3 linked regions of the Notamacropus eugenii genome follow. The protein of the gene in region 2 purifies or fractionates together with the protein of the main gene of each other region. This does not show direct contact. Links are inferred from orthologs where the notes say so. Each region holds a gene or a part of one and is shown on either strand. Other genes may lie near its edges. The genes, in order: HLTF, RPA1 and RFC5.

Evidence for each region.
Region 1: the proteins of RPA1 (region 2) and HLTF purify together in Homo sapiens (affinity purification with mass spectrometry, with the first as the bait; 4 studies listed by BioGRID). This does not show direct contact. The link is inferred for Notamacropus eugenii from reciprocal best matches to the Homo sapiens genes RPA1 and HLTF.
Region 3: the proteins of RPA1 (region 2) and RFC5 purify together in Homo sapiens (affinity purification with mass spectrometry; 3 studies listed by BioGRID and IntAct, with this or other methods). This does not show direct contact. The link is inferred for Notamacropus eugenii from reciprocal best matches to the Homo sapiens genes RPA1 and RFC5.

Annotation. Positions count from the first base shown.
Region 1 is NC_092877.1:337,866,997-337,876,660, forward strand, and holds the start of HLTF (helicase-like transcription factor), read right to left. Parts: upstream 6,577-9,664; 5' UTR 6,340-6,576; coding exon 6,320-6,339; intron 5,976-6,319; coding exon 5,946-5,975; intron 1,396-5,945; coding exon 1,191-1,395; intron 160-1,190; coding exon 1-159. UniProt on the Homo sapiens protein: Has both helicase and E3 ubiquitin ligase activities. Possesses intrinsic ATP-dependent nucleosome-remodeling activity; This activity may be required for transcriptional activation or repression of specific target promoters.
Region 2 is NC_092873.1:39,858,634-39,868,297, reverse strand, and holds the start of RPA1 (replication protein A 70 kDa DNA-binding subunit), read right to left. Parts: upstream 5,066-9,664; 5' UTR 4,883-5,065; coding exon 4,850-4,882; intron 1-4,849. UniProt on the Homo sapiens protein: As part of the heterotrimeric replication protein A complex (RPA/RP-A), binds and stabilizes single-stranded DNA intermediates that form during DNA replication or upon DNA stress.
Region 3 is NC_092875.1:27,513,867-27,523,530, forward strand, and holds the start of RFC5 (replication factor C subunit 5), read right to left. Parts: upstream 5,365-9,664; 5' UTR 5,207-5,364; coding exon 5,139-5,206; intron 134-5,138; coding exon 69-133; intron 1-68. UniProt on the Homo sapiens protein: Subunit of the replication factor C (RFC) complex which acts during elongation of primed DNA templates by DNA polymerases delta and epsilon, and is necessary for ATP-dependent loading of proliferating cell nuclear antigen (PCNA) onto primed DNA.

The sequences.
Region 1 (9,664 bases), on a different chromosome or scaffold from region 2:
TTGGGCCAGTTTGTTGTCCATGATGTAGGCCAAAGGGGCTGCAAGCTCTTTCTTTATGTGACCCACCTGATTTCCATTGACATTATTCACTTTCACTGCATTCTTGTCATATGGATTATTAGGTTCTCTCTGAAGTGCCACCATTTCATTATTATTAACCTAATAAAATATCAAACATAAGTTTAGTTTATAGTACCTTCCTTTAAACTGTACTACTCAAAGCTTACAGTGTAGTACCCAGAACACTTTTTCCGGGATTTCTGACTAAGGCTGTAGAAGGATATTCTCTCTCTCTCCCTTCTCACATAATGTGGTAAACTCTATTTTCTGGTACTGTCCTTTTTCATAGCTGAAAGAGCTAGTCCTAACCAGATAATCCTCACCCCTCCCAATTTGTTCATTTACCAAAACTGTATCTTAATTTTGTAGTTAAGAGTTTGTTTTGAAATTCCCAAAATATCCTATTTTGCTAAGACTAACCATCAAACACTTTAAAATTCTGTCACAATAGATATAGCTGTTGGAATTTTTTCAAATGCTCATTTCATCTTTATTAGTTCATCAGTGCTGCCTTTTCTGCTTTCTTTTTTGCAAAGTGGCCATTATAAAAACATACAATACTTCAGTTAAAAAACAAAAACTGTCTACTTTGTTGGTAGCTTATTGAGTGCCAAAATTAGACTACATGATTGAGGAGAAGCAAGAGCTTAAAGAAACACGTTACATATGGTACACCAGTAACAAAAGACAGAAACTCATATATGGAACAGAGGAAACCAGTACCTCTTGTAGAGGTAGATAAGGTCCAAAAGCAAAGATTCAGAGAAAATGCATGGATTAAAGAGGCACAGGGCACAGAAAGATAGTGAAAAGACCACAAAAGCAGAGCTAGAAACACTTTTAATGGGGCAGAAAAAGAAGGGAAGAGATATCAAAAAAGTAAAGGATACAATACAAAAATATTATGATAGATCTTTTAAGATACTACTGACTATTTAGCATGTAATAAGCATTTTTTGAAAACATCATTTTCTCCTTCTTACCAAACCATTAACTACCTTGTAATTAATTTAAGGTAAACCCTACCACAGAAAATTGCATTTGCTAAACATTATTTCCTTTGAGAATATTTCAACTGTAGAATTAATATCCAGACTACTAAACCAAGTGAACCATCATACTCTACTTACCACTCCTGTGTAATATCGTAATCCAACCACATGGCCTCGCAAAGTTCCAAATAAAACTGAATCTAGATCTTCATCACTAGCTATCAAGTCCTCTGGAGGGACCTCTTCAGGCTCAAAAGGAGAAAATAAATTGGAATAGGTGCAGTGTGAAAAACTTCCATGGACTCCATATTGGAATGACTGCAAATATTTCCAAAGAGGATCCCTATTTAAAACAAGGGGGGTGGGGGGAGGACGGGAAGTCAAGTCTTACTTTGCATGAAGTTGTCTTTTTTTATTAAATATAAGCAAATTGTTACTCAATATTGTAAAGATGATATATAAGGAAGGTTGTATGGTAGTGATCTGGGAGTCATAATACTTGTCTTTGGTTCTACCATTAACTGAATGACCTTGACCAAGTCCCATCACTTTTGTCCTCAATCTATAAAATGAGGGGTTGACAGGCAGCATGGTAAAACTGGAGAAAAAGGAAAAAAAACAAACAAACCAAATTTGGCATCAAAGGAACTGGGATCAATAAGGTCCTTTCCTGCTCCAAGGTTTCTCCCTCTTTCCCCTTTTAAGTGACATGGTCCATCTAGGACCTCTCATTGTCCCTTGACTGAACTACTTTTAGGAACCATTAGTTCAGAAAATTTAGTATCTCTTCTTCCTGGAATTAAGTAAAGTATTTATAGATTTTATATATCCTGCAATTTTAATGTAACGTATTCTGAATACCTAAAACAGGTTCCAATTATTTTCTTCTAAACACTCAGGTAAAATCCAATTTTAAGGAATATAACTTTAATAGTGTACTGTTTTATAAAGTACTATTTCTATATCCTTGTGAACAGATTTTTGAGAATTTTGCCCATTTGGTTTCAGTGAATCTTTTTTATATACCACCCTCTTCTGGCTCACATCAAGTACGTACACACCAAATATTCCAATCAACAATCCCTTAAAAGTCACCATCTCTAAACTTGGTCCAAAATAACTGGACCAATGGCTCCTCCCACCCAAGTCCAATACCTCTTGACCTTCATTTTAGGGTCCCATGGTATAGTTCCTCTCGTTTCCCCTATTCCTGAAACATGACCTACCCAAATTCTTTCCCCATGACCACAGATTATCTTTATAATACATCTGTCACCCCAACTATGAAATGTAAAGTCCTGCAGAATAAATGACTTCACATGTTCCTTTCCATGTGGCTGACAACCTATTTACAAAAAACTTTCTTTTAATTCAAAATATATGCTTTATATTGTAACTTTACCTGTATGTCAAAATCTTAATGAGGGGATTAAAAATAATGCCATTATAAAATAGCTTACCTCTACTATATGAGAGTATGATTATTTCAATAGGTAACAGCAATTTTAGAAATATCAAATTGATGTTCACATGGCACGAAATTTTATCAAATAGCCATTCTCCTCTCCAAAAGTGATTTACAATTAAGAGTCATTTCCTAAGCGTTTTACTGTATTTACGTAGCATATGCTTGCTACCAGTCTTCCCTCCAAACATATCAATCAGTACATTTAAATATATAAATCAGAAAACATAAACATCATTAATGACTAAGTCATGAAAGAGTACTTAACCTGGATCTGTTAATTTGAAAACTTTGCTAACTGTATTTCAATGTAATTGTTTTCATTTGTAATCCCATGTATTTAAAAAGTACTTAAGTACTTAATTACAAGTACTTAACCTGGATCTGTTAATTTGAAAACTTTGCTAACTGTATTTCAATGTAATTGTTTTCATTGTAATCCCATGTATTTAAAAACATTATTTTGAAAAGGGGTCAAAAGGCTTTATCAAACTAACAATTAGGTCCACAGAAAAGTTCAAGCACACCTGCAATGGATTTGTGCTAAGATTCTAGCAAACTCTTGCCATTAAAAAAATTGCTGTTTATATTCTACACACACACACACACACACACACACACACAAACCGCCCCCCCTCCCCCCAATTCCTTATACAATGCTGGTGCTGGATTTGGATTTTGAGGATACAGTTTTTGGTCAACGATTCAAGACTAACCAGTTCTGTTTAATGATTCAGTAGAAGTTAAACAAACCTACAGACTGAATTCTAATAATAGTTAAAATTTATATAGTACCTACTCTGCACCACGCTAAGCCCCTTAAAATCATCTCATTTGATCCTTACAACAACCATCCTGGGAGGTAGGTACTACTATTATCCCCATTTTACAGATGAGGAAATGGAAGCAAACAGGGGTTAAATGACTTGCCCAGGGTCACGCAGGACGGTAAATGTCTGAGACTGAATTTGAACTCAGGTCTTCCTGACTCCAGGTCTAGGTGTCTATCCACTCTGTCACTTATGCCTCATAATGCTACAGTACTATAATAAATCAGGATTTCACTTAAAAACATTTAAATCACAATAGTTTATCATGTATTCTCTTAATCAACAGATACTAAAAATGAAAGAATAATGTGGAGGTTCTTTCAGTTTTTTGCACATAGAACCACTTATCCAAACTATTCTTCAAAATCTGTCTGGAAACACCAATCTTTGTAAAACTTACTTTAATATGTTATGCTATTTCAAAAATCAGTACAAAAACTATGCAAAATTTCCACTGACGGATATGGAAGCAGCAAAATCCTAATATTTTTTCTTTAGCTCTCTTTCCACCTTCCTTTCAGTGCTTCAATTGCTACTCTGTGCCAATGGCTTCCAACCTCTCCCCAGATCCTGTTCCACATTTCCCACTCCTGCCTGACACCTGCATTTGGACGGATGCAACGCCAGCATTTCTACCTTACTCTGGCCAAATTAGTCTAGTAACTTTCCTCTCTCCTAGCAGCTCAGAATTCCTCAATTCCTCCATGATAATGGCATCATCACTATTTGGTCAGGCTGCTCAGTCACCTTTTGCCTCTCTCTGCTTCAACTCACATATATCCAGGCAACAAGTTTTTACAATAAATCAATAAAATGCATCCCCTCTTTTCCATTTCCACTGTGACCATTCTAGTTCAAGTTCCCAGCACCTTTCACAGTCTCTTCTCTCTACAATCCACCCAGACTCAAAGCAAAATTTATCTTCCTAAAGTACAAGTCTGTTTTATCATACATACTGTACTCAGAAAATAATAGTTAAAAGCACTTTCTATAGTGCTTTCAGGTTTGCTAAGTGGTTTGTGTACATTATTTCAAAAACTTTCAATAGCTTCTCCTTTTTACTGAATGAAGTTCAAATTCCTTAGTCTAGCATTCATACTCCTCCTCTTTCCTATAAAATAAAGTCCAGATTCCCTATTCCTGCCCAGTAGGGACTCCACCAACTCTTTCAAACTTCTCTCTCACAATTCCCTACATCCTAGAACATCTCTCCCAGCTTTCAAAGCCCAACTCAAGTGCCACCTCTTTCTGTCTCTGCCTGGCAGAGTAGGCACCAAATGTTTCTTGACTGACAACCCCTCCCACCCCACCATGAAGACACCTAGATCCAAGCCCCAGGAAAAGATCTCTTGTTAGTCCCAGAGCACCTTGCTAGAACCTTCCCTAAGGCCTCCATTCCAGGCCGAAAAGCCAATAGTGTTTGTACAGTGAATCTGCATTTTAAATGTGTTTATCTCCACTGCTAAAGGGTTCATTAGTTCCAGGGGGGCCACAATCTTGTTATACATTTATGTGTACGTACCCATAGTGTGTAAACATATATATATGTACACACACTATATACTGTACACCCACCATATGCTATATATACATGCTATGTACTATTTATACACACACCATATACTATTTATACACACACTACATACTATACATACACACACTATATACTACATACACCACATAGTACATATACATGCCAGGTACTATTTATACACACACTACCTACTATACATACACACACCGTACTACATATGTATATACACACACTATGTACACACTACCCACTATACACACTACCTACTACACATACACACACCGTACTACATACGTATATACACACACTACATACTATACATACACCACATACCACATATACATGCCATGTACTATTTATACACACACTACCTACTACACATACACACACCGTACTACATACGTATATACACACATTCTAGACTACATACACACTACCCACTATACACACTACATACTACACATACACACACCGTACTACATACGTATATACACACACTACATACTATACATACACCACATACCACATATACATGCCATGTACTATTTATACACACACTACCTACTACACATACACACACCGTACTACATACGTATATACACACATTCTAGACTACATACACACTACCCACTATACACACACACCATACCACACATGTATGTACACACTACACACACGCTACATGTTACATACGTATACATATACAGTACACAAGCACCATGAAGGGTCCGAGGACGGGTAAGATTCAGACTCCTCACCAGAACCCCAAATTGCCTCTCCAACATACAAACGCCCCCTCCCCCCCACTTCACGCTTCAGGGCACCCCAAGTGCCCGAACACTGTGGGGCAGCTCGGGCACGCAGACGGGGAGCCCCCGCCCGGGGAAAACTTGAGAGTCTACGTCCGAGGAAAACCACCGGCCCCGCATCCCGAGCGGCGTTTCCTTTCCGAACCATCCAGACAAAAGCCCGGGGCCCCGCAGCGGCGCGCGGGGTCGGGCCCCCGGGAGCTCCGCGCGTGGGCTCCGGGGCCGCAAGTTTAAAACGCAGTAAGGGGAACTCACACTTTAAAGAACACCTGGGGCGCGTCCGTCCTAAAGGGAGGTAAACAGAGCGCTCCGGTCAAGCTCGCCGCACCGCACGGTCTCTTTCCAGGTCGGGGCTGTGCGTGTTTGGGGGTTTTCGGACCCCTTTAAGCGGGACTCCCGCAGCGGGACAGGTGAGGGGCGGCGATGCCCGGTGCCCTCCTCCTCCCTCGCCCCTTCCCCTCCCCCAGCGGCCCGGGCCAAGGTCTCGGACACGGGGACCCCTCGCTGAGGGTCGGGGCGGGGATGGGGCCCCTCCCACCCGGCGCGCGCACGGCGGGGACTTCCCGGAGGGGGCCGATTTGGGGATCGGGGGACAACCGTTACCCGCCCCCCCCCCACAGCCCGTTCACCTCCTGAACATCCAGGACATGGCGCTGGGCACGAAGGCGGGGTCCGGGACCCCGCCGCTCTCAGGCCCCCCGGGCCCGCCTCGCCTCGCCGCCTCCGCCGCTCGGGTCCGGGCCGCGCCGCTGGGGAAAAGCGAGGAGAAAGCAGCGAGCGCGCCGCGAGAGGGATGCGAAGCCGAAGCTCTGGCCGCCTCTGCGCTCCGCACCTCCCCTCACCCCACCTCTGCCTCAGCTCCTGCCTCGGCGGCGGCGGCGACGTCGCGTCCCTTCCTCCGCCCGTCGTCGTCGAACGACGCCGCCGTCTCCTTCCCGCAACAAACCCAGCCCCGCGATCTGAGGAGACGGACAGCGGCACGCCCCAATCGAGGGCAGGCTCGCCCCGGCCTCGACCAATCAGCGCGCGGAAGAGGAGGGCGGCGCCCGCCCCCGCGCTGGAATTCAAAGCGATGAGTGGGCCGGGCCCCGCGCGGCTGGTTTCATCCGGGCTTTTCCCCGCCCCCTGGGTTGGCGCGCGGCGCAGTCCCTCCCGCCCGGGGGCCGGCGGGGAGGGCCGAGCCGGGGGAGGGCTCCTCGCTCCCCGCCCCGCACCTGGGCTCAGCTGCCTTCCCAGCAGGGAACCTCCCGCCCCCGTCGGCTTCCCGCAGTCTGAGCTCTCGCGAAACCCCGGGGTCGCCTGGGGACCGCTGCCCCCCGCACGCTCCTGCCCCGTGGCCCGGGACCCCGAGGTTTCCGGGGCTGCGCCTTCGGGAGTAGCCCTGGAAACTAGGTCTCCTTCTGCCCCTCTTGGACACTTAATCAGAACTTGGACGGGCCGGTTCGTTCTTTGACCTTGTGATTTGTTTCTAAAAAAGAATTCTTTAGGGAAAAAATAAACTGAAAAACACAAAGTTGCCAAGAGCGTGCATTGCCGGAGGCACGACCGTGCCCCCGGGGGCATTTTTCTCCAGCCGCGCACTTGCGGGAGGGGGTTCCCACGCCCGGCTGGCACCTGCCTCAGTGCCCCGGGGCATCCCTGCACAGCAGGGAACCTGGGCGCTCTGGGTAACAATCACCCCGGAACCGCCTTGGAACGCGGTGCTCGGTCTTCACAGCCCGCTCTCGACGCGGCTCCTGAATCCGCTTGGAGGGGCTTCCCCGTTTTATTTTGGGGTGAAGACAGCCCAAGAAGTAAAGCTTGGGACTGAAGCCAGATGTAACTCCTCTGGGACCAGATGAACACCGGGTTCAGAAGCCAGTTTTACAAGAAACACTACGGGCAACCGTGCCTTGAGTTTCCCTATGACCCTAAGGCTCCCCCCAGTCTGTTTGTAATTTTTTTAATTAATTTATTTAACTTTTAACATTCATTTTCACAAAATTTTGGGTCCCAAAGGCTCTCCCCATTTCTCCCCTCCCCCCCAGTCTGTTTGTAATCTGTCTGCCTTTTGACCATGTTTTGGAAGTCCGTTTGACCAAGCTCTGGAGATAAAGTGTTTGATGGGCACAGAGATGGTTTCGATCCAGACTCTGAATGGGGTCCGATTGAACTGACGGCCCGCGGCACGAGCTCAGAGGATCCAGACTTTATCGTGTCAGTTTCCCTAGCCAGATGTCGTCATCAGGGCTCTCCAGCAAGTGAGCCCGGGCTAAGTGCCTTTGTGTGGCATGTGGTAGGAAAAGCAGATTATTCTCCCCTCAAACCAGGCATCATCAATGTTTCCCTCTCCTGATTTAACGCTATTCTTCTTAAAATTCACCTGTACCAAGGTACTCCTTCATATGTGTGTATATGTGAGTGTGTACATATACATATATGTGCGTGTATGTGTATATATACATACATGTGTATATATACATACATATGTGTATATATATATATATGAGTGGATCAAGAAATGAAGAGAATCTTCATTTTTCACCAACATTATTTACCTATACAGAATGGACAGATACCTATCTCTCATCCATGTAACTGTTAAGATATAGTCCTCAAGTTCTCAATATACATGTCTGTATATATACATATACATATGTCATACACATATACATATTGTAACATTTCCCATATTCTCCAAATGTTATATATGTATTACAGTATATAGGTATGTATGTACACATATATATGTATGTATATGTGTCAATTATATGATTTAATTTATCATAATTTTATTTGATTGAATATATAATTTATATACTTATATAATGATGTCATGTCACATACTTATATATACATATATAAGTATATAATATGTAATTTATTAATATAAATTTTATGTGATATGCAATATGTTAATATTTAACATACACATATAAATTATAACTATGTAAACTGTACAGTGAATTTGTATACATATAAATTAATTTTCACAGAGGAGTCACCCTCGTATCACTAAAAGAATGTTGGCATATTATCATCATAATCAGTAACTGTGTCTGAAGTCTAAGGCAGGAATTTGGAATTGCTATTTTTGCCCTAAGCCTGGTTACCATTTTCCAGAGTCCCCTTTCCCATTCCCAGATTGCCTTCTATTTGGGTGGATTCCCATAGAATTTCCTTATCAATGGAAATCATTTACACATTTTGTATTTCCAGATTTGTTCCAAAAACCCTGCTCCCAAAAAAAATCCCTTGGAGGCCCCAGGATGAGACTCAGTAACCTTTCACAACTCTACCATAGGACCAAGACCATGCTTCTTTCTCAAAAATTGTTAGTTTTTGTTTGATTCCATTACCCAACACCCACCCTCATTCTAACGCCCTGGCAGGAGTTCCCATGAAACAGATCTGAAACTGCTCTGAAACACCTACTTCCAATTTTCTCCAGTTCCTGATTATCCTTATATTGGAGTAAAAATTTTCCTTTCAAAAATAAGAATAACAATCATTACATACAGAATCCTGGAATCATACATAATAAAATGATAAATATTTATTAATTGATTAAAATTGATAGGGTCATATCAGATGTCATCTAGTCTAGCATTTCAAACTGTGGGTCGTGATCCCTTATGAGAGCATGAAAAATCTAGCAACAGTAAAAGATTTCTGAAAGTGCACCAACCAAAAATTAATTTAAAATCAAACATGCAATGGATCCAAGGTGTTTCCTGGTAGCACTTATATCTGCAGCTTCACTGCAGCCTTGGTTTTGAATACACACACACACACACACACACACACACACACACACACACACACACACACACAGAGCATGTGCACTTTGCACTTTGAGTGCCCTTAGACCACGAACGCCATCGAATGCTGGTGAAACACAAGATGGGGTCAGAAGTGGAAAAAGTCTAGGAAGCCCTGCCTAGTCTAACCTGTGCATGAATGAGAATACTCTCTACAATATAATATCTGCTAGT
Region 2 (9,664 bases):
CTTGGCGTTTAGGGGTGGGGGGAGGGGAGAAATGGGGAGAAAATTTGGAACTCAAAATTTTGTGGAAATGAATGTTGAAAACTTAAATAAATAAATTTAAATTAAAAAAAAAAAAACCAAAAATAGAGGCTGAGTGAAACCAGGGTGTAAAAGGCTTCAAACACCAAAAAGAGATTACCTTTGAGCCTAGAGGTAATAGGGATGTTTATTGAGGAGAATGAGAGACCTGCCCTTAAACAAAATCACTTTGGTGAAGTGGAGTGGAAAGACTTGAAGCAGGGAGACTAACTGGGAAGCTATTACAAGAGTCTCGTTTGTGGAACAGCCAGGAGGCCAGTATCATTAGCTCATAGAGTGGATAGCAGGGAGTAAGATATAAGAAGGCTAGAAAGGTAGGCAGGTGCTTTGAAGGCCAAATGGAACATCTTGTATTTGATTCTGGAATTCATAGGAAGCCACCATAGTTTTTTGAGTAGGAAGGTGACATGATCATACCTATACTTTAGGAAAATCACCATAGTGGGTGAATGGAGGATGGACTGAGGAGAGATTTGACTCCGGCAGACCCACCAGGAGGCCACTGCAGTAAGGTGAGAACTGATGAGAGCCTGCGCAATGGCTGACGGCTAAGTCAGTGAGAAGGAGGTCTATTCAAGAGCTACTGCAAAGATGTGCAAAGGTAAAACCAGCAACAGCCTGAATTGGGGGGAAGGGGGGAAGGAGATAATGGCACATCCAAGATGATTCTTAGGTTGCAATTAAGAGGTAATTGGGATAAAGGCCTCATTTCTAGAATATATAGAGAACTGATCCAAATGTATAATCATACAAGTCATTCCCCAATTGATAAATGGTCAAAGGATATGAACAGGCAATTTTCAGAGGAAGAGGTTAAGGCTATCTATAATCATATGAAAAAATGCTCTAAATCACTATTGGTTAGAGAGATGCAAATCAAAACAACTCTGAGGTACCACATCACACCTATAAGATTGGCAAACATGACAGAACAAGAAAATGATAAATGCTGGAGAGGATGTGGGAAAGTTGGAACACTAATTCATTGCTGGTGGAGCTGCGAGCGCATCCAACCATTCTGGAGAGCAATTTGGAACTATGCCCAAAGGGCTACAAAAATGTGCATACCCTTTGACCCAGCAATATCGCTACTAGGACTGTATCCCCAAGAGATCATAAAAATGGGAAAGGGTCCCACATGTACAAAAATATTTATAGCAGCACTCTATGTAGTTGCCAAAAACTGGAAGTCAAGGGGATGTCCATCAATTGGGGAATGGCTGAATAAATTATGGTATATGAATGTAATGGAGTACTATTGTGCCATAAGAAATGATGAACAAGAAGACTTCAGAGAGGCCTGGAAGGACTTATATGACCTGATGCTGAGTGAAAGGAGCAGAACCAGGAGAACTTTATGCACAGCAACGACCACAGTGTGTGAGAGTTTTTTCTGGTAGACTTAGATTTTTGTAATAACACAAGAACTTCTTACCAAAAAAAAAAAAAAAAATCCCAATGGAGGATCTCAAGGCAAAATGCCTGCCACACTCAGAAAGAGAAATATGGAAGTCACTCACATATTGTAGCAGATCATGTTTGTGTATGTGTATGTGTTTGTGTATCATGTTCTGATTTGTTATACGATTTCTTTCATTTATCTTAGTCTGACTACATAGCATGACTATAGTGAAAATATACTCAATAGGAAAGTATATGTAGAATCTATACAGAATTGTATGCAGTCGTGGGGAGGGAGGGGGGGAGTGGGGGGTAGGTGGGGGGGATAAAATCACAATTGTATGGCAGTGATTGTTAAACATTACAAAATTAAAAAAAAAAATGAGGTAATTGGGGGCCTGGTAGCTGAATGAGCAGAAAAAAATTTGAGAAATGTCATGAAGGTAAAAACAAGGAAATCAAGCAACTCACTGAACACATGTGATAAGTGAGGAGTTGAGAAAAGTTGCAAACCTGAGTGACTAGGCCAGGTGGTGCCTTTGACAGGAGGGTCATGACAGAGTGGACCTAGCAAGAACCTCCTGGGCTTACAATGCATTAAGTTGAGGTATCTGCACAAAACCCAGCAAACAGGGAGCTTCAGGAGTGAGGAGCCACCAGGTTGTCTCAGAAGGAGCAAATCAGCCCAAGTCAGAAATGGAGCAGGTCAAAGCTCTCATGCTGATCAGAATGGGATCAGGCCCATAAGTGGCTCTTGTCCTTCCAGCCTAAACAAGATAGAGCCCTAGTCTTTTTTTTTTTTTTAACTTTTCTTCAAACTTGGAAAAAAAGAAAAGCAAAAACAGACACTGGCATGGATTTGAGGGGGAAAACAAACTCTCTTTGGGACATACAGAATTTTAGATGCCAATTCAATATCCAGCTAAGGTACACCACCAGGCAACTGGTGATATGGAAATGGAGACCAAGAGAAAAACTGGGGCTAGAAATATAAATCTGGGAATCATAGGGCAAAGAGAATTAAACTCTTGCAAGTTGATGAGGTCACAAAAGACATAACCCAATTTGAGGAAATCCAGGAACCAGAGGGACAAAAGTATGATGGAGAACAGGCATTTGAAGATTAACGGGGATAGAAATAGACTACAGTTACATAGAAAGACAGAGCAGACTATAGCTATTTACAGTGATAAACATAAGGAAATCACAAGCCTGGCTCTGAGGCATAATATGGTTATGATGAGGAACTCCAATTATCTTTGCCCAAAACAAAGCAACTAGAAATTACTTAACCTACCTTAATAACTTCTTCCTTCAAAAAAAGCAAAGGAATCAATGAAGAAAACTTGTTTCCGGAATGTAAATGACCATTCTAGCTTAGAATTTGTGATAGACAAGAAGCTAAATGGTCTAGTGTGTCATATCCCCTTGAATTGTGGGAGAGCAAATTTCAAAGCTTTCAGGAAAAGAATAGGATGCCTAGACATAACTCTACAAAGACCCCTTCCAGCTCTTTACCTCTGATCCATGAAAATCACCATGGTTAGTGAAGAGCCAGAAAAAGAAGTGATGGTGAAAAACCACAATGGCTTCCTCAAGAACACGTGCTGCCAACTAATGGTAAGTCCTTTTTTTTTTTTGCCTTCTTTTTCCTAAAACATTTGATGAAGTCTGTTAAGCTCTTCTTGCAGAAGAGATGTGGATGACAGATTCTCTTAAGGTGGGGTGAACTGGAAATAGGTTGAATGAGTGAGCCCAAAGACTAGTCATTAATGGCTCAATGTCAAGTACTCCATGAAGTGTCCCAGAGAACCCTGTGAACGTGCTTATCAATCACAAGAAAAGGCACAGAAGGACATGCTCATCAAATCTACAGATGACATAGAGCTGGGAGGGAATGGATAAACATTCTACTGAATCAAATAAGATGCAATTTAATAGGGATGAATGACGTCTTACCGTTGAGTTTTAAAAGATCAACTTGACAAGTACAAGATGGGGGAAAGAAGCACCAACAGGCACCAGGTCATGTGAAAAAAGTTAAATTGAATTGACTGTAAGCTTGATATGCATCAACAGTGTGGTATGAGCTTTTAAAAAAAGATGACACACCATCTTAGACTGCATCAAGAGAAACACAATACTCAACACAGAACTCTGCCTAGTTCAGACTATATCTGGCTAATAAAGAGTCTTGGAGTCACATTTTAGATAGGATCTTAATGAATTTGAGAGTATTCATCCAGAGGAAAACAACTAGAATAGTGAACTCAGTCAACAAGCATTTATTTTTTTAAATTTATTTATTTTGAGTTTACAACATTCAGCTTTTCAACTTTAAACTTTGTCCCCCTCCCTCAACCTTCCCCAAGACAGCATGCAATCTGATATATGCTCAACAAGCATTTATTAAAGGTTTAATATGTGGCAAGGCGTTATGCTAAGTGCTGAAGATAAAAAAACAAAACAAAAACGGCCCCAGACCAGAAGGAGCTTCCCTTGTAAAGGCGGAGTCAACAGGTAAATAGCTAGGTAGGTAACAAGATAAATACAGAGGAGGGTGGGGGGGAGAGAAGGGATAAGTACCTGCCTCGCACCCACAGCCTGACGAAGGTTATCCGACATTATCTGAGGGGGGGACGCTAAGCAGGTGGGTGGGCCAGAAAGGCCAGCATAAGTGGAAATTTGAGTCTTTAATAAAAGAATCCAGGAAAACTACGAGATGAAAATGGGCAGGCAGGGCATGTCGGGGGCACAAGGGGGGGGCTGCGTTTGAGGAAAGCCAAGTGGGCCCCAGTGTGGGAATGGGAAGGGGGGCCGAGTGGGGAAGTCAAGCCTGAGGCAGGAAAAGTAGGAAGGGGCCGGACTAGAAAGAACTTTAAACGCTAAACAAAGGAGTTTGCTTGATAAAAGGGATTACGCGGGGGTCGGGCTTAGCCTTCCGCGGAAGCCTCCCGAACCCCAAGACCGAGGCCAGGGCGGGGTGCTCGGCCTTAGACACCCCCCGGGGGCATGCCCGGGCTTGGCCCCCGGGGCAGCTCGACGTCTCCTCGGGGGTGCGGGGCTCCCCCTTCCCGGGGGGCTCCCACAAACCACTGGCTGGGAGGCTCTGGGGGGGTCACCAGATTCTGCGCCCCCCCCACACACGGCCCCACACTTCCGAGGGCCCTCCGGACATCCCCGACCCTCGGGGTCTTCACCACATCCGGGGAGCCCCGCTTCCCCACAGCACAGGCCTCCTCTTCTAGAGTCACCCCAGGAGCGCGCGGGATCCCCCCAACGCCGACTCCACCCCCCTCCCGTGGCCTGCGCCTCCTCGGGGTCCCGCCACCGCAGCCGCCGGCTCCGCGCCCCCCTCACCTCCCCTCACCTCAATGGCCCCCTCGCTCAGGCGCCAGCTCATGGCTGTCCGCTGCGTGGCCGCCCGGGATCCGGTAGCTCGCTCCCAAGGTTCCCGGGTGTGTGTTCGAGCGGCGTCCGCCGAGTCAGCGGGAATCCGGGATGGTGGGGGGGGGGGGGGAAGGGGTCCTCTCCCGCGCGCTCAAATCTGATTGGCCCGGCCCCGGCCCTGGCGCGCGCCGCTCTCGCGCTCCGGAAGCGGGCGGTGTAGGGGGCGGGCTCAGAGAGTCGAACGGGCAGCCCATTGGCCGAGGCTCCCCGAGCGCGGGGAGGATGTGAAGCCCCGCCCACCGGCGTCCGGCCGGATTTCTGAGCGTCCGGGGGGCGGGAGCGCAGGCTGGCGTGTGACTCCAGCCGAACGAGCCAGGCCCACGCCGGGGAGCAGCCACGCGCGACTGGGAGGCCAGCCGGGAGGTCTGCGCTGCCCTGCCCGCGACTTGTCCAGGTGAGCCTCTGGCTGTAAAGGGGAAGGGAGGAAGCATTTATTGAGCGCCTACTACATGCCTGCTGGGGGCTGCGCGCTTTACAGCACGATCTCACTGGGTCCTCACAACAACCCCGGGAGGGAGGTGTTGTTAGGATCCCCGCTTTACCGACGGGGAAACTGAGGCAGGCGGCGGTTCAGCGACTTGCCCCGGGTCACCCAGCCAGGAAACGTGAGAGGCCGGACCCCGGGCCCAGAGCCCGCGGTGGGGTGAAGACACCTCTCTGCACTTTTTTCTGTTTTGGGGGAGAATCCATCCCACGGGTGTGATGCGCCCCGACCCGAGGGCCCCTATTAACATCCTTAGCCTCTGGTCCTAGAATTCAGCGGCAGCCTAAGGAAGGGGGGGATCACAAGCGGTCAGTCCGCAAGTATCTGTGAAGTTAAGAGCTACGTGCTGGAAACAGGCAGTAAACGTTTATTAAGCACCTACTGTGTGCCAGGATACAAAGAGAGGCCAAAGAGCAGTCCCTGCACTCAAGGAACTTAAGAGAGCCTGCGAACAACCTTGTTCGAAGGTACTGGATAAATAGAAAATAATTAAAAGAGGGGAGGGGCTGGTCTGGGCTTTTGTTGGGGACTTGAAGGAAGCCAGGGAGATCAGTAGTCACAGCAGAGGAGGGAGAGCATTCCAGGCATGGGGGAGGGCAGAGACAATTCGGGACATGGAGTATCTTGTTTGTGCATCAGCTGGGAGGCCAAGGTCCCCAAATCAAAGAGTATGTATTGGGGAATAAGGTGTAAGAAGACTGGAAAGGTGGGTAAGGACAAGGTAGGAAGGATTCTGAATGCCACAGTGTTTTGTATTTGTTCCTGGACGTCTCAGGAAGCCAGTGAGTAGGGGGGGGTGACATGGCCAGACATGGCCTGTGTTTTAGGAAAATCACTTTGAGGGCCATGTGTGTGTTTGTCCATCAGAGAAATGATGACATGACTTGCACTTGACTTTGTTTTGAGTGAGGGAGGGCTGTGCAGGTCACCAGCCTCACTTCTCCTCCAGAGCCATCTGAATCCAGTGACCAGATATTCATCAGGATGACTGGAGATGACCCAGGATGAGGCCACTGGGGTTAAGTGACTTGCCCAAGGTCACACAGCTAATGAGTGTCAAGTGTCTGAGGTGACATTTGAACTCAGGCCTTCCTGATTTCTGCACTGGTGTTCTATCCACTGTACCACCTAGCTGCCCTAAGGAAGATCACTTTAGTGTCTGAATGGAGGGTGGATGGAGTAGGGAGAAACTTGAGGCAGGGAAACCCAGGAGCAGTGACAGAAAGTCCCTGGCCTCGGGAGCTTACATTTTATGGCGTGTGCAATTATTGCTTATATAAGTACATGCAAAGTAAAGCAAAATTGTTTGGAGAGAGATGTCATCTAGGTGGAGGCCCTTTGGCTGAACCTTGAAGGAATCTAGGGATCAGAAGAGGTAGAGATGAGGGAATGATGGCAGGTATGGGGGGGACAACCTGTGAAAGGTGGCAGAATTAGGGAAGGGTAGTCCTCTGAAAAGAGATGCCAGAGCCACATTCCTTTGAGGGTAGAGTGATTGTGGTCTTAGGGATTTCAGCCATCCTTGGGCCCAACATCAGCAGTTTAGGAGAAGAGCTAATATTAGAACCAAGCAATTGGAAGAAAGCAAAGATTTACATTAGGGATTTTTCAGTTGTTCAAGGATTACGCTTTCATTGATGTGGTTTTTCTCCTCCACTTCTGGAGATTGCAGCCCCTTAGTGACTTAACTGAGTAGATAAGTCTGTGAGAATTGCTACAGCTGAAAAATTCAACATGCCTTTGCCATCCTGGTGATGAACCTCTCGAAACATAACTCACTGAGCCTCAATTTGGGAGCTCCAAAGGGCCCCAATGACCACCTAGTTGGACCTATTACATGAAAGGAGTCCCCTCATCAACCAGGGAGCTTCCCCTTTGGTGGGTCCTGGCCTCCTTGGGCAGCAGTCTATCTGGTGAGGCCTATGGAGCCCTTCTAAGAATTCTGGCTTTAAATGTATAAGATCAAGCACATGGGATTACAAAGAAAACCACTTGCACTGAAGTGCAGCTATCCAAAAATTTTTAAAATGTATTCACAGACGCTGAGTTAAGAAGCTTGACTCTACAGCTTACCTGATGGGCGGCAATACAGCCTTTGATTGAAGTCATCCTTTGAGAGGGAACCTGAAGGCAGCCCAGTCTCTGGGCTCTGACTGCTGGGAAATTTTTCCATACTCTGAGCCCAAGTTAGCCTTTTGCTATCTATGTCTACCCCTTGTACCTGGTTCCCCCAAGGCTCACCCTCAACACAAAGTCCTTCCCAGTCCCCAGTAATGCTAGTGCTTGCCCTCTGTTGATTGTCTCCAATTTATCCCATCTATATCTTGTTTGTACAGTTATTTACATTAGATTGTGAATCTCCACAGGGCAGGGACTGGCTTTTTTTTGCCTACCTTTGTATCCCTAACACTTAGCATAGTGCCTGGCCAATAGCACGCACTTAATACAGCTAGGTTCTGATTCATGTGAATAATGAATCTTGTGAAACAGTCGTATGTATTCACATTGACCCTGTTTGGAGTAAGGATTGTGTTAGCTATGGTCATTGTTCCCACCCAGTAGAAATGTGCAGTACAGATGTGAATAATGGGACCACTTCACCAGGTTCCCTATCCAGATTAATCTGGACCAACTTGAGTATATTAGTTGGCTGAATAAAACACTCCCTTCTCACCATGACCTTAAAATCCAATGGAGAGACAAGTACATCTAAAGAGATATATGGTACAAATAAAAATAAATAAATATATGTGTGTAAAAATTAAATACAAGGTAGTTTAGGAGAGAGGGTACTAGCATTTCAGGGAACCAAAACACTTCAAATAGGAAGCAGTGCCTGAGCTCTGTCTTAAAGGAGGATACGGCTTGTAGGAGGCAGAGATAAGGAGGGAACATTCAGGGTTGGGGTGATTTTTTTTTTTTCCTGGGAGCTTCACCCTCCATGAACAGTTTCCCCAGAGACTAGGCCATACAAGAATCAAAGGAACTGGGGCTGCTCAGCCTGGAATAGAGAGCACTCCAGAGGGATGTGCTGGCTGCCTTCAAACATCTGTTAAGGGCAGTCATGTGGAAGACTAGAATGGGGATGCTTGTCCCTAGAAGGCAGAATTAAGCAGTATAAGTTGCAGAGATACAGATTTAGAGTTAATAAAAGGAAAAACAGCTAAGTTGGTGCAGTGGCTAGAGCACTGGGCCTGAAATCACAAAGACCTAAGCTCAAATCAGGCCTCAAACACTGTCTGTGTGACCCTGGGCAAGTCACTTCCCCTTATTTGCCTCAGTTTCCTCATCTGTAAAATGAGCTGGAGAAGGAAATGATAAACCAAGAAAACCCCAAATGGAGTCACGAAGAGTCAGACACGACAGAACAGGCAACGAGAGCTAGGCCAAAGTGGGGTTGGATGCCCACTGGCTATCCTGAGTAGGGGAGTCCGGCTCAGTGGCATTCGGCCCTTTTCCATTCTGAGATTTTGTGATTCTGTGGACTGCAGGGGCAGGTTGTGACATGTTATTCCCCTCCTCAAGCTCTTCATTTCTGCCAAACTCTATTTGTGATTGCCTTTGACCTGACATCCTTTCACTGTCCTCCTTGCCATACTTGTTAGAATGCCCAGTTTCCTTCCTGCTAACTCCCCCAGCTGCTAGTACCCCCTCCTGCCTCTAAGCACTTTATGTGCTCTTCTTTATGAAGCTGCCTGTACTTTGTAATCCCCTCTCCTTAAAGACTTTAAGCTCTCTGAGGGCAGATTGTTTTGCTTTTGTCTTTGGATCCCCAGTCAATAAGCATTCATTAAGCACCTACTATGTGCCACGTAGTAGGTACTTGCTGAATGAATGATGAGCTGTTGGACTAGCCAAGCAGCAGCCAGAAACCTCAGCAGTTGTACCAGTTAGCTGTGCTCTAGGAATTCATTCCCTCTTCTATCTTCCTTGGAAAGAGGGGGATGTAAGTGACAGAAGGGCAGGAAGCCTGCCCTGAGGCACCCACTGTGGTGTCCCGTCACAGTGTGGTTGCAGCTAAGGCTTCTCAGACATTGAGTGTGACTGGGCCAGCAGCCAGCAGAGGACCAGCCCCATTCAGGTCAGAGAGGCTTGTCACCAAGTGAGCTGCTGAGTGATTTGTGCTCCCCTACAACAACTCAGAATGGTGTTGTCCTGATAATGACTGACAGTGTGGTGCTTTGAAGGGGCAGGACCCCACTACCTCACAACAGCCTGATGAAGCAGAATATTACAGGGAGGGTTATGCCC
Region 3 (9,664 bases), on a different chromosome or scaffold from region 2:
CTTCAAATGGGAGGACAAGGGTTATTAATTACCTCTAAATCTATGATTCTGAAACACATGACACTTACTGGTGCTCAGGATATCCTGATGAGAGATTAGGTCATTCAGTGTCTGTGGTCGATACTTTTCAACCCTGAAATAAGAATTTCCATACATATTACAATATAAAATATTGACAAAAAGACTTTAGTATAAGCAAGAGTTTAAAATCTACTGTGTTCCCACTAAGAATCCTCATGCATTCTAAATTATTTGTAGAACATGTACTACTACCTGTGAGGCTCTGGCTGTGCATGCAGAGGATTTTACCCATATCTGTTTGTTCCCAAAGATGAGACAGGCCAGGGCCAATGTGGTTCAATAAGTACTAACAATGGATTCCAAACCCCACCTGTGGCACAACTACCCTTGTGACTTTGGGCTTATCCTCTCTAGGTCCATTTTCTCATGTGTACAATAAGGAGTTTAGACTAGATGGTTTCTGAGGTCCCTTCTGGCTCTAGGTACACAGATCTTTCTTGATGAAGCACAATGACTAATTCCCTCAAACTGAATTCAATATAACAAATATTCATTAAGTTCCTATGTGCAATGCACTGTGCTGGGGCTACCAAGAAAAGAACTCCTCCTCGTCCATATGGAGCTCACAGCTGATGGGCAAGATCACTGTGCTGAAGCATCTGGACTATCACATGGGAGGGAAAAGGTCATGCAGAGTTACGGACATGCCCATAGGAAAAATAAAGTCATGAAAGGCTTCCTGAGAGGTGGTTGGGGGGTGGATGAGCACCTGAGCTGGGCCTCGCAGTAAGCTAAGAACACAGAGGGGAGGAGGGACTGAAGTCTACAAATAGTACTTGGAGAGCCATGTCTGGCAAACTACAAATACGTCAAGTTGGCTGGAATTTTGTGAAGGCAGGCTGGAGCAGACTATGGAGGGCAGGGGTGGGGAACCCTAGGTCCTGAGGACACATGTGGCCCTCTAGGTGCTCAAGTGCGGCCGTTTGGCTGAATCCAAACTTCACAGAACATATCCCTTGATGTAGGAACTTGAATTCCAAGTCAAGTGTTATTACTTTACCCTATAGGCAAGAGCAAGAGAAGACAACAGCCAGATGCATTCTTCAGGAAGATTGTTTTGTCAGCTGTGTGAGGAATGGATCAGAGAAAGGAGACTGAAAACAGAGGCTACAGCCACAGCCCAAGTGGCCATGTGACCCACAGTCTTACTATCACTGACAGATAGGAGATAAATTACTGAAAGGAGGTCACAAGTTGGGATAAAGTATTTGGTGTTAAAGAACTGTATTCTCCTCTCCTCAACTTTTCTCTTGAGCCTAGGATTCCTTTTGAGCCTTTAGTTACAGGGTTATTCCTTCTCTGTGTGGACTGTGAACTCCTGCTTTGGGTCTGGTTTGTTGTTGGAGGAATCAGGATATTTAGCTCAGAGAAGATGGAGTGGGGACACAGCAGCCTGTGTCTAAGTATCTCAAGGACCCTCCTGGGGAAAAGGATCTTTGTGCCCAGCCCCACAGGGCAGAACTGGCAGCAGAGGGGAAAACTGCAAAAAAGGCAGATTGAGGTTTGATTCAAAGACTTTGAAGAATCAGAGCTATCCCAAAGGAGAACGGGTCACCTAAGGAGGAAGCAGATTCTCTTTTATGTTGTTATTTTCCAAGAGCACCAGTGACGTGACAGGTGATGTCTTGGCTCATGGGCAAACTGGATTTCAGTGAGGCAGAGCTGCACAAAGTCCTCACCCTCGCTCTCTTCCAGAGTCATTGAAGTCCAGTGGCAGGCAATTACCCATCCTGCTGGGGAAAGTCTTCACCTGCTTGAGGTAGACACCCCCCTAACTCACCGATGGGTTTGAGGCCTATCAGTTATCCTCAACCTGATGCAGCCCACCTGCTTAGACAGTTTTACCAGGGTGTGGCTCTGTGTATGCTACAGCATCTTGGAGTCACAGGTGAGAGTTGAGATGGATGGACACTCAGAGGGCTAGTCTTCCCTGAATACCCCCATACACCCCATTCCCCTTTTATAGAGGGGAGGGGAAGGAAAGGAGGAATTAAAGAAGAGAATGAGGGAGGATATTAAAGGATTCTGAGATGGAGAGAAGAGGGAGCTCCTTCTTCTAGGGAGTAAATGGCTTCTTTCAGTAAAGTAGGAGGTGTGAGGGTTGAGGGAGGAGGCAATATTAGAGTTCTGAGGACAGAAAAGCTTTGTAAAACCCACTCTGAAGAGTGAGAGAGAGAACTGACTGTGGACTGGGAGTAAAATGATAGTCTAGTTGCAGGAGGGAGGATACCATTGGGATTAGATAACATACATTTACCCAACATGGCTGGATGTGACTCTGTCCTGGTTTGTTCAGCAGGATGCCAGTGGGAAGTCAGGAGGCAGAGAACAGGAAAGATCCAGGGTTACTGTTTGGCAAGATAGGGGCAGCAACAGAGGCAGCTAGGGCTCAGTGGACAGAGTGGTGAGACTGGGGTCAGGAAGACCTACCTGAATTCAAACCTTACCTCAGACACTAGTGGTCTGATCCTGGACAAGTTTTATTGTAAAACGGAGATTACAACAATACCTACTGATCCAGGGTTGTTGTAAGGATTGAATGAGATAATATTTGTAATATACCTGACACACAGCCAAGTGCTTAATAAATCCTCCTTTTCTTCTAACAGGACAAAAGTGCAAGAGATTCAAGAGCAGAGGAAGGCTTGTAACTGAACTGACTAACTAAAGATCAAAATTGGGAAGGGAAGTGGAGCTGGAATGGGGTGACGGCCTGGGAAAGTGCACTGTGGGGGTCATGGGAAATATGAAGAAGAGGCTTAGGGAGATAAGTTATGATTAGAGAATGGAATTTTACAATTTTTATCGTGCATATGCAGCCTTGTATATGTACCATTCCATACCACTCTTCCACCTCTGCAAAGAAGGGAGGGAGAAATATTTTCTCAACTCTTCTCCAAGGTAACACTTAATCATTATAAACTAAAAAGTATTCAGCTTTTTTGGGGGCGGGAGAAGTTCTGTTTATTTTGTGCATTCATTAAGAGCTTGTTAAATGCCAGGAACTAAATCTAGCAGAAGAGACAAAAATGGCAAAGACAGAAGCAGTTCATGCCCCCAAAGAGCTTACCTCAGGGCACAGGAGACAATGTGTACACATAAACTGATACAAAATTACATAAAATAAACACAAGGTAATTTTGGGGATGAAAGGGGGAAGCACTAGAAGTTGTGGGGGATCAAGAAAGACCCTGTCTGTAGCAGGAGAGCCCACCTGGCTGAGTTATGGAGGAGGCTGGGGATTCTGAGGGATGGAGGTGAAGGAATGCACTGTAGGCTTGGGTACAACTAGTTCAAAGGTTGGGGGATGGAAAATCATGTGTGAAGGACATTAATTAGGTCAGTATGACTGGATTGCATAAAGGGGAAAAGCAGTATACCAAGTCTGAAAAGAGAGGCTGTGAAGAGCTTTAAGTGCTAATCTAAGAAGTTGGCATTGGATTTTGGAGGCAAAAGGGCCCCCCTGGAGCCCTACGAGCAAAAGCATGACACTGTGAGATAGAGGCTTTGGGAAGATCACATTGGCATCTGGGGGCAATGTGGGCTGACTGTGAGGAATCTGAAATGGGGTTGAGGGTAGGGAATGAGGAAGCTTCAGCACATGTCTAGGTGAGAGTTGTTGGGGGTGGAAGCAGAGACAGGACATGCAGTGGAGGTAAGGCTGACTAGACTCGGGAGTAGGTGGGACATGCAGTCATTGAACTTTCTTGATTCTGCTTACTTTACTCACAAGAACACCTACATCTTTCCAACCTCCTCTAAATTCTTCCTATTGTTTCTTATTAGTGCCTCTGTCTTTCAGCAGACCCTCCAACACTGACGATGCTATCATCTTGGCCAATCTCTGGGTGTGAGATAGAACCACAACATCTTGATTTACAATTTTACTTTTAGTGGATTTGGAATAACCTAACTCCTTCATTTTATGGAAAAGGAAAATACCCAGTCAGGAGATGGTAGTATCTTTCTATGATGGGTGAGTGCCACTGGATCTGAGTATGTAGGTAAAGGGCAGTAAGGTGAAAGGAGACTAGAAAGGCAGGAAGAGTCTAGGACTGGAGACAGGTAGATCCACTAGCAGGCTATTACAACAGTCCAGATATGAGCTGATGAGGGTCGCCACCAGAGTGACAGCAGGAGATAGAGTGATACAGAAGAGGGCATATTTGAAAGATGCTGGAGGTGAAAATGACCAGAGATGTTACAAAGGTGAAATGGACAGATGCTGCAGTGGTGAAACTACCAGAGATGTTGCAAAAGTGAAATGGACAAGAGATGCTGCAGAGGTGAAACTGACAGGCCATGGTACCAAACTGGATCCGGGGGGTGATAGTGAGGAGACCAGGATGACTCCTAGGTTGTGGGTCTGCAGGACTGGGAGAATGGTAGCACCCTTGAAGGTCACAGGGAAGGTAGCAGGTAATGAGGAGAAAATAAGGAGTTCTGTTTTGGACATACTGAGTTTAAGATATCTGCCAGACAACCAGTTCCAGATGCTTGAGAAGCAGTTGGATATATGAGACTGGAGGTCAGTAGAGCGTTTGGGGCAGGAAAAGCAGATTTGAGAATCATCAGCATAGAAATGATAATTAAATCCAGGGGAGCTGATGAGGTCACCAAGTGAAGTGGTGCGGAAGGAGAACATAAAGAGGGTCCTGGACAGAGGGTGTGATCTGAAGGAAGATCCAGCCAAGTCCGAGGCTGAGAAGGACCAGTCAGATAAGGAGGAGGCCCAGAGAGGGGGGTTCCCTGAAAACCTACAGTGGAGACTGTCAAGGAGGGGGAGGGGCCAAGAGCGTCGAGCCCTAAACCGATGACCCTCCGTCACTTTCACTGTTCTCGGCCCTGACCTCACTCGGTGCTCTCTGGGATCGCCCCCACCTCTAACTCTAAGCCCCTACGTGTCCCTTCCCGGGCCTCGGTTTCCTCAACCGTCCTCTGGAATCGCCCTGGGTTCTGAACCCAGCCCCTTGCCCACCTAGGCGCAGTCCCACGCCCGGGTCTGTCTCCAGGCTGCGGGATCCCTGCCCCGCCCCGCCCCGGACGCGGCCCCCTACCAGGGCAGGTTCCTGCTTTTGGCCGCAGGCTGCTGCTGTGGCTGCTGCCGGACGGCCGGGGCCTCCATGGCGGCGCTGACCCTGAGCGGACCCACAGACCTAAGCGCAGCGGGAAATCGGCTAAAGCGCGGCCTGCATCTCCTTTCCCGCCACAGCTCGCGCGCGCGCGCATGCGCCGCCTCTGCTCTCGCGAGACTTGACCAGGCCACCGAGCCCGCCCGGCCCCTGCTATTTTTCTTCCCAGACACCCCTTCGGGAAGTTCGCCCCGCCCATTTCGGTTGCTAAGGCTGGGAGTGGGTTGCTAGGTAACCGCGAGGCTCGCGTCGTGCGCAGGCGCAGTCAGGCCGGGCCTGTCAGAGGCAGGGGCTGGGGACAGAGCATCTGGTCCTGCTGCGTGGCCAGGTCCGGAGAGGCTCGGGCGGAGAGTCTGTGGTAGGAAGGGAGAGCGAGGTCCGGCAAAGAGGGTGAGGGTGCAGGAAAAGCAGGGAGCAGCAGGGATGCATCAGGGGGACGCCGCATGAAAGGAGTCCACGTGTCTGCCTTCCTTCCTCCCTTCCTCCTTCCCTCCTCCCTTCCTCCTTCCCTCCTCCCTTCCTCCTTCCCTCCTCCCTCCCTCTCTTCCTCCTTCCCTCCTCCCTTCCTCCCTTCCCTCCTCCCTTCCTCCTTCCCTCCTCCCTTCCTCCTTCCCTCCTCCCTCCCTCTCTTCCTCCTTCCCTCCTCCCTTCCTTCCTTCTCTCTCTCTCTCTCTCTCTCTCTCTCTCTCTCTCTCTCTCTCTTTCTCTCCCTCTCTCTCTCTCTCCTCCTCTCTCCCTCCCTCCCTTCCCTCCTCCCTCCCTCCCTTCCCTCCTCCCTCCCTCTCTTCCTCCTTCCCTCCTCCCTCCCTCCCTTCCCTCCTCCCTTCCTTCCTTCCTTCTCTCTCTCTCTCTCTCTCTCTCTCTCTCCCCCTCCCTCCCTTTCTCCCTTCCCTTTTCCCTCTCTCCCTCCCTCCCTTCCCTCCTCCTTCCCTTCCTGAGGATATGGGGATATATGGGGATAATGACAGCACCCACCTCATAGAGTTGTGAGGATCAGAGGAAGTCATATTTACAAATGTACCTAGCACATAGTGGGTGCTTTAAAAATCTTTATTCTTTCATTTATTCATTCCCTCCTTCCATTATTAGTGCTTTTATTCATTAATCATTCACTCATTCATTTATTCCTTCCTTCACTCTTTCATTCATTTATTCATCCAACAAGTCGTAACTGCTCTGTGCCAGGCACTGTGCTAAGTCTTGGAGATATCAAGACAAGAAAGGAAAGAGTTTTGCTTTCAAAGAGCTAGCATTCTATTTTTTTTTTTGAGAGAGGATGCTTGGTTGTTCTATGTTTGCTTCCCCTATATCTAGTAATTAAGTCTTCTTGATTTTTACCTCCCCAATACCTCTTGCATTGTCTCCTTTTTTACTATTTTTATAGCCACCAGTAAGTCAGTCCAATACACAAGCATTTATCAGAGTCTTATAAGAGCCAGGCTCTGTGTTAAGCATTGGAGGTACAAAGAAAGGCAAAAACAGGAACACAGGGCCTTGCCCTCAAGGACCTCACCTTCTAAAGGGAGAGACAATGTACAAAAAATTGCACATACCATATATTTATTAATAACAATTAGTATTTCTATACCACTTTATACACGTTTCATTTTATCCTCAGTAGGTGCTATTATCATCTTCATTTTACAGATGAAGAAACTGAGGCAGACAGAGGTTAAATGACTTGCCCAGGGCCACACGGTTTGTAAATTTCTGAGGAAAGATAGGAACTCAGATCTTCCTGACTCCTCATCCAAGGTTCTATCCACTGTACCACCTAGCTGCCTCATATGTATTATAATTTGGAAGGATTCTATCTGGGGTGGAATCTGGTATTTCTGAGATTCCATCCCAGATGGAAGACTCTAGAAATGAATAGTTTAAGAAAGGTTTCCTGCAGAAAGCAGGATTTAAATTGAGCCTTAAAGGAAACCAGAAGGTGACCTAGGAGGAGGTCACCTCTTGCTTGAACTTTTTCAATGACTACTGTCTCCCTGCTCTACCTTTCCCCCAACTTTGGTCTCCTTGATGGAGTGGAATAATTGCTGGATTTGAAGTCTAAGGACCTGCTTTCTAACTGAAGCTTCTGCTACTTGATATGTGTGTGACCTCTGGTAAGTCACAACTTTCTGGTCCTCAGTTTCCTTATCTGTGTTATAATGCAGTTAGACTAGAGGATGACTAGATAAAGGTCTTTCCAGCTTTAGATTTATGATGTTATAATCAACTTCAATACATCATCCACACAGTTCTCAAATGAATATTCCTGTATCATCAATAAGACCATGTCACCACTATGCCCGAGAGATTCCAATGAATCCTATTCCCTGTAGGTTAGAACTCAAACTCCTTAGCTGCTGCTCATTTTTCCTGGCTGATTTTATATTACCCTTGTTCACATGAGCTTAATTCAGGTCAAGTCAGCTAGCATTTTTTAAAGTCCTACTATGTGTCAGATGCTATGCTAAGTGCTGAGGATATAAAGACAGAGAAACAAATGGATGAATGATTGGATAGATGTTTAGTTAAATAAATAGATAAGTGAATGAACAAACAAATGAGTGGATAGATAAATAAAACCAGTCCCTTCTTTCAAACAGTTCACAGTCTTAATGGGAAGAGCCAATCTGGACATCTTGCTGTTTCCTAAACTTGACTCTCCAGCTCCCATCTCCACAATTTTGCACAACCCATTCCCCATCTTTCAAATGCATGCCCTCCTCACTTCTGCCTCTTAGAATTTTTTACTTTCCTTTGAAGTTCCGCTTAGGTGCCATCTCCTCTATTAAACTTTTTCTGATTACCTTAGTGGTTAAAGTTCTTTTCTCCCTCAAATTATCTTGTATTTTAAAATGATGAGTATTGCATTCTCTAGCAGAATGTAAACTGTTGGAGGGTAGGGGGGTGTTTTGTGGCTTTTCATCCCTAGTGCTTAACACAATGTCTTATGTATAGTAGATACTTAATAAGTGCTTGTTGAGTTTCCTTTCCTGGCAGAGTTACAAGGATGATAACCATCTTTCCATCTACCCTCTACTTGCTATTGCTCTGACTAGAGACCGTGCCTTAAAGGATCTGGGTCATTCTACTCTGAATCTCTTGCTCTGAAGCCTCTGTGAACCAGACTGGTGAGAGTCCACTCTGGCCGGTTCTAGATCTGGCCATTCTTCATTCTGGTCATCTTGCCATTTGACTCACCATAAAACCCATTCCCAGCTGTTGATCTGGGGTCAACATTGCCATTACTTTGAAAAAGGTGCATCAAACATGTCAACCAACTGTCCTATTGTCCAACATACCCATCATGTCTGTGTTTTCCCAAGCCAAAACATCCTTCCTTGGCTACCACTCCCCTATACGTGTTGCCTCCCACTCATAGAATATAAACTCCATGGATAAGAACTCCTTCAATTTTGTATTTGTATTTCCAATCAGTTGATCAGTCAACATTCATTTATTAAATGCTGTAAGAGCAGGCATTCTGTTAGGTTTCAGGGATGTAGCTACAGCACAGTGCCTGGAACGTAGTGAGGGCTAATAAATGTTTCATTTCACTCATTCATACCTCAGTTTCAGCAAAGCACTTGACAAAAATCTTTCACACTATTCATGTGGAAAAGATGTAGCCCAGACAATAGCAAAATAGTATGATTTCAGAACTCATTGAATGTTCAGAATCAGAGTAATCATTTATAATTTGATGTCCTATATGTTCTAAAATATTTGTAACAGCTCTCTTTGTTTTGGTAAAGAACTGGAAACTGAGGGGATGTCCATCAATTGGGGAATGACTAAACAAGCTGTGGCGTATGATTTGATGAAATACTATTATGCCATAAGAAATGATAAACTGATTGATTTTTAGAAAAACATGGAAAGACTTGCATGAAATAATAAAAAGTGAAATGAGAAGAACCATAAGAATATTGTATATATAACTGCAATATTGTTTGAAGAATAATTGTGAACAACCAGATTAGTCTGAGCATTATAAATACTCAAATCAGCTAAAAAGGGCCCATGAAGGAAGATACTATCTACTTCCAGAGAAAGAACTGATAAACAGAAGTATGCATAGTATAATTTTAGATATATTTATAAATCTGTGTTAAATAGTGGCTTTCTCTAGTGTGGGATGGGGAGGGAGGGAGGAAGACAGTTTGGAACTGAAAATGTAACAAATAAATAAAATTTAAAAAATATCTTGGTGTCACCTTGAAGGGAGGTTTCTAATGCAGAGATATCTGCTTAGCTTTGTAGCCTTGTACTAATGTTTGAAATCAAACACTTGAATGAAGGCATCATTTAACAATTTAATGCAGCCCTACTGTGTGTAACACATTGTCCTAGCTTCTGGGAATATAAAGATGAAAACAAAAACATTTGAGACCTCAAGAAGCTGACATTTTTCATCGAAAACCTGCTTATCAAAAGTGCAGATAGATGACATGAAA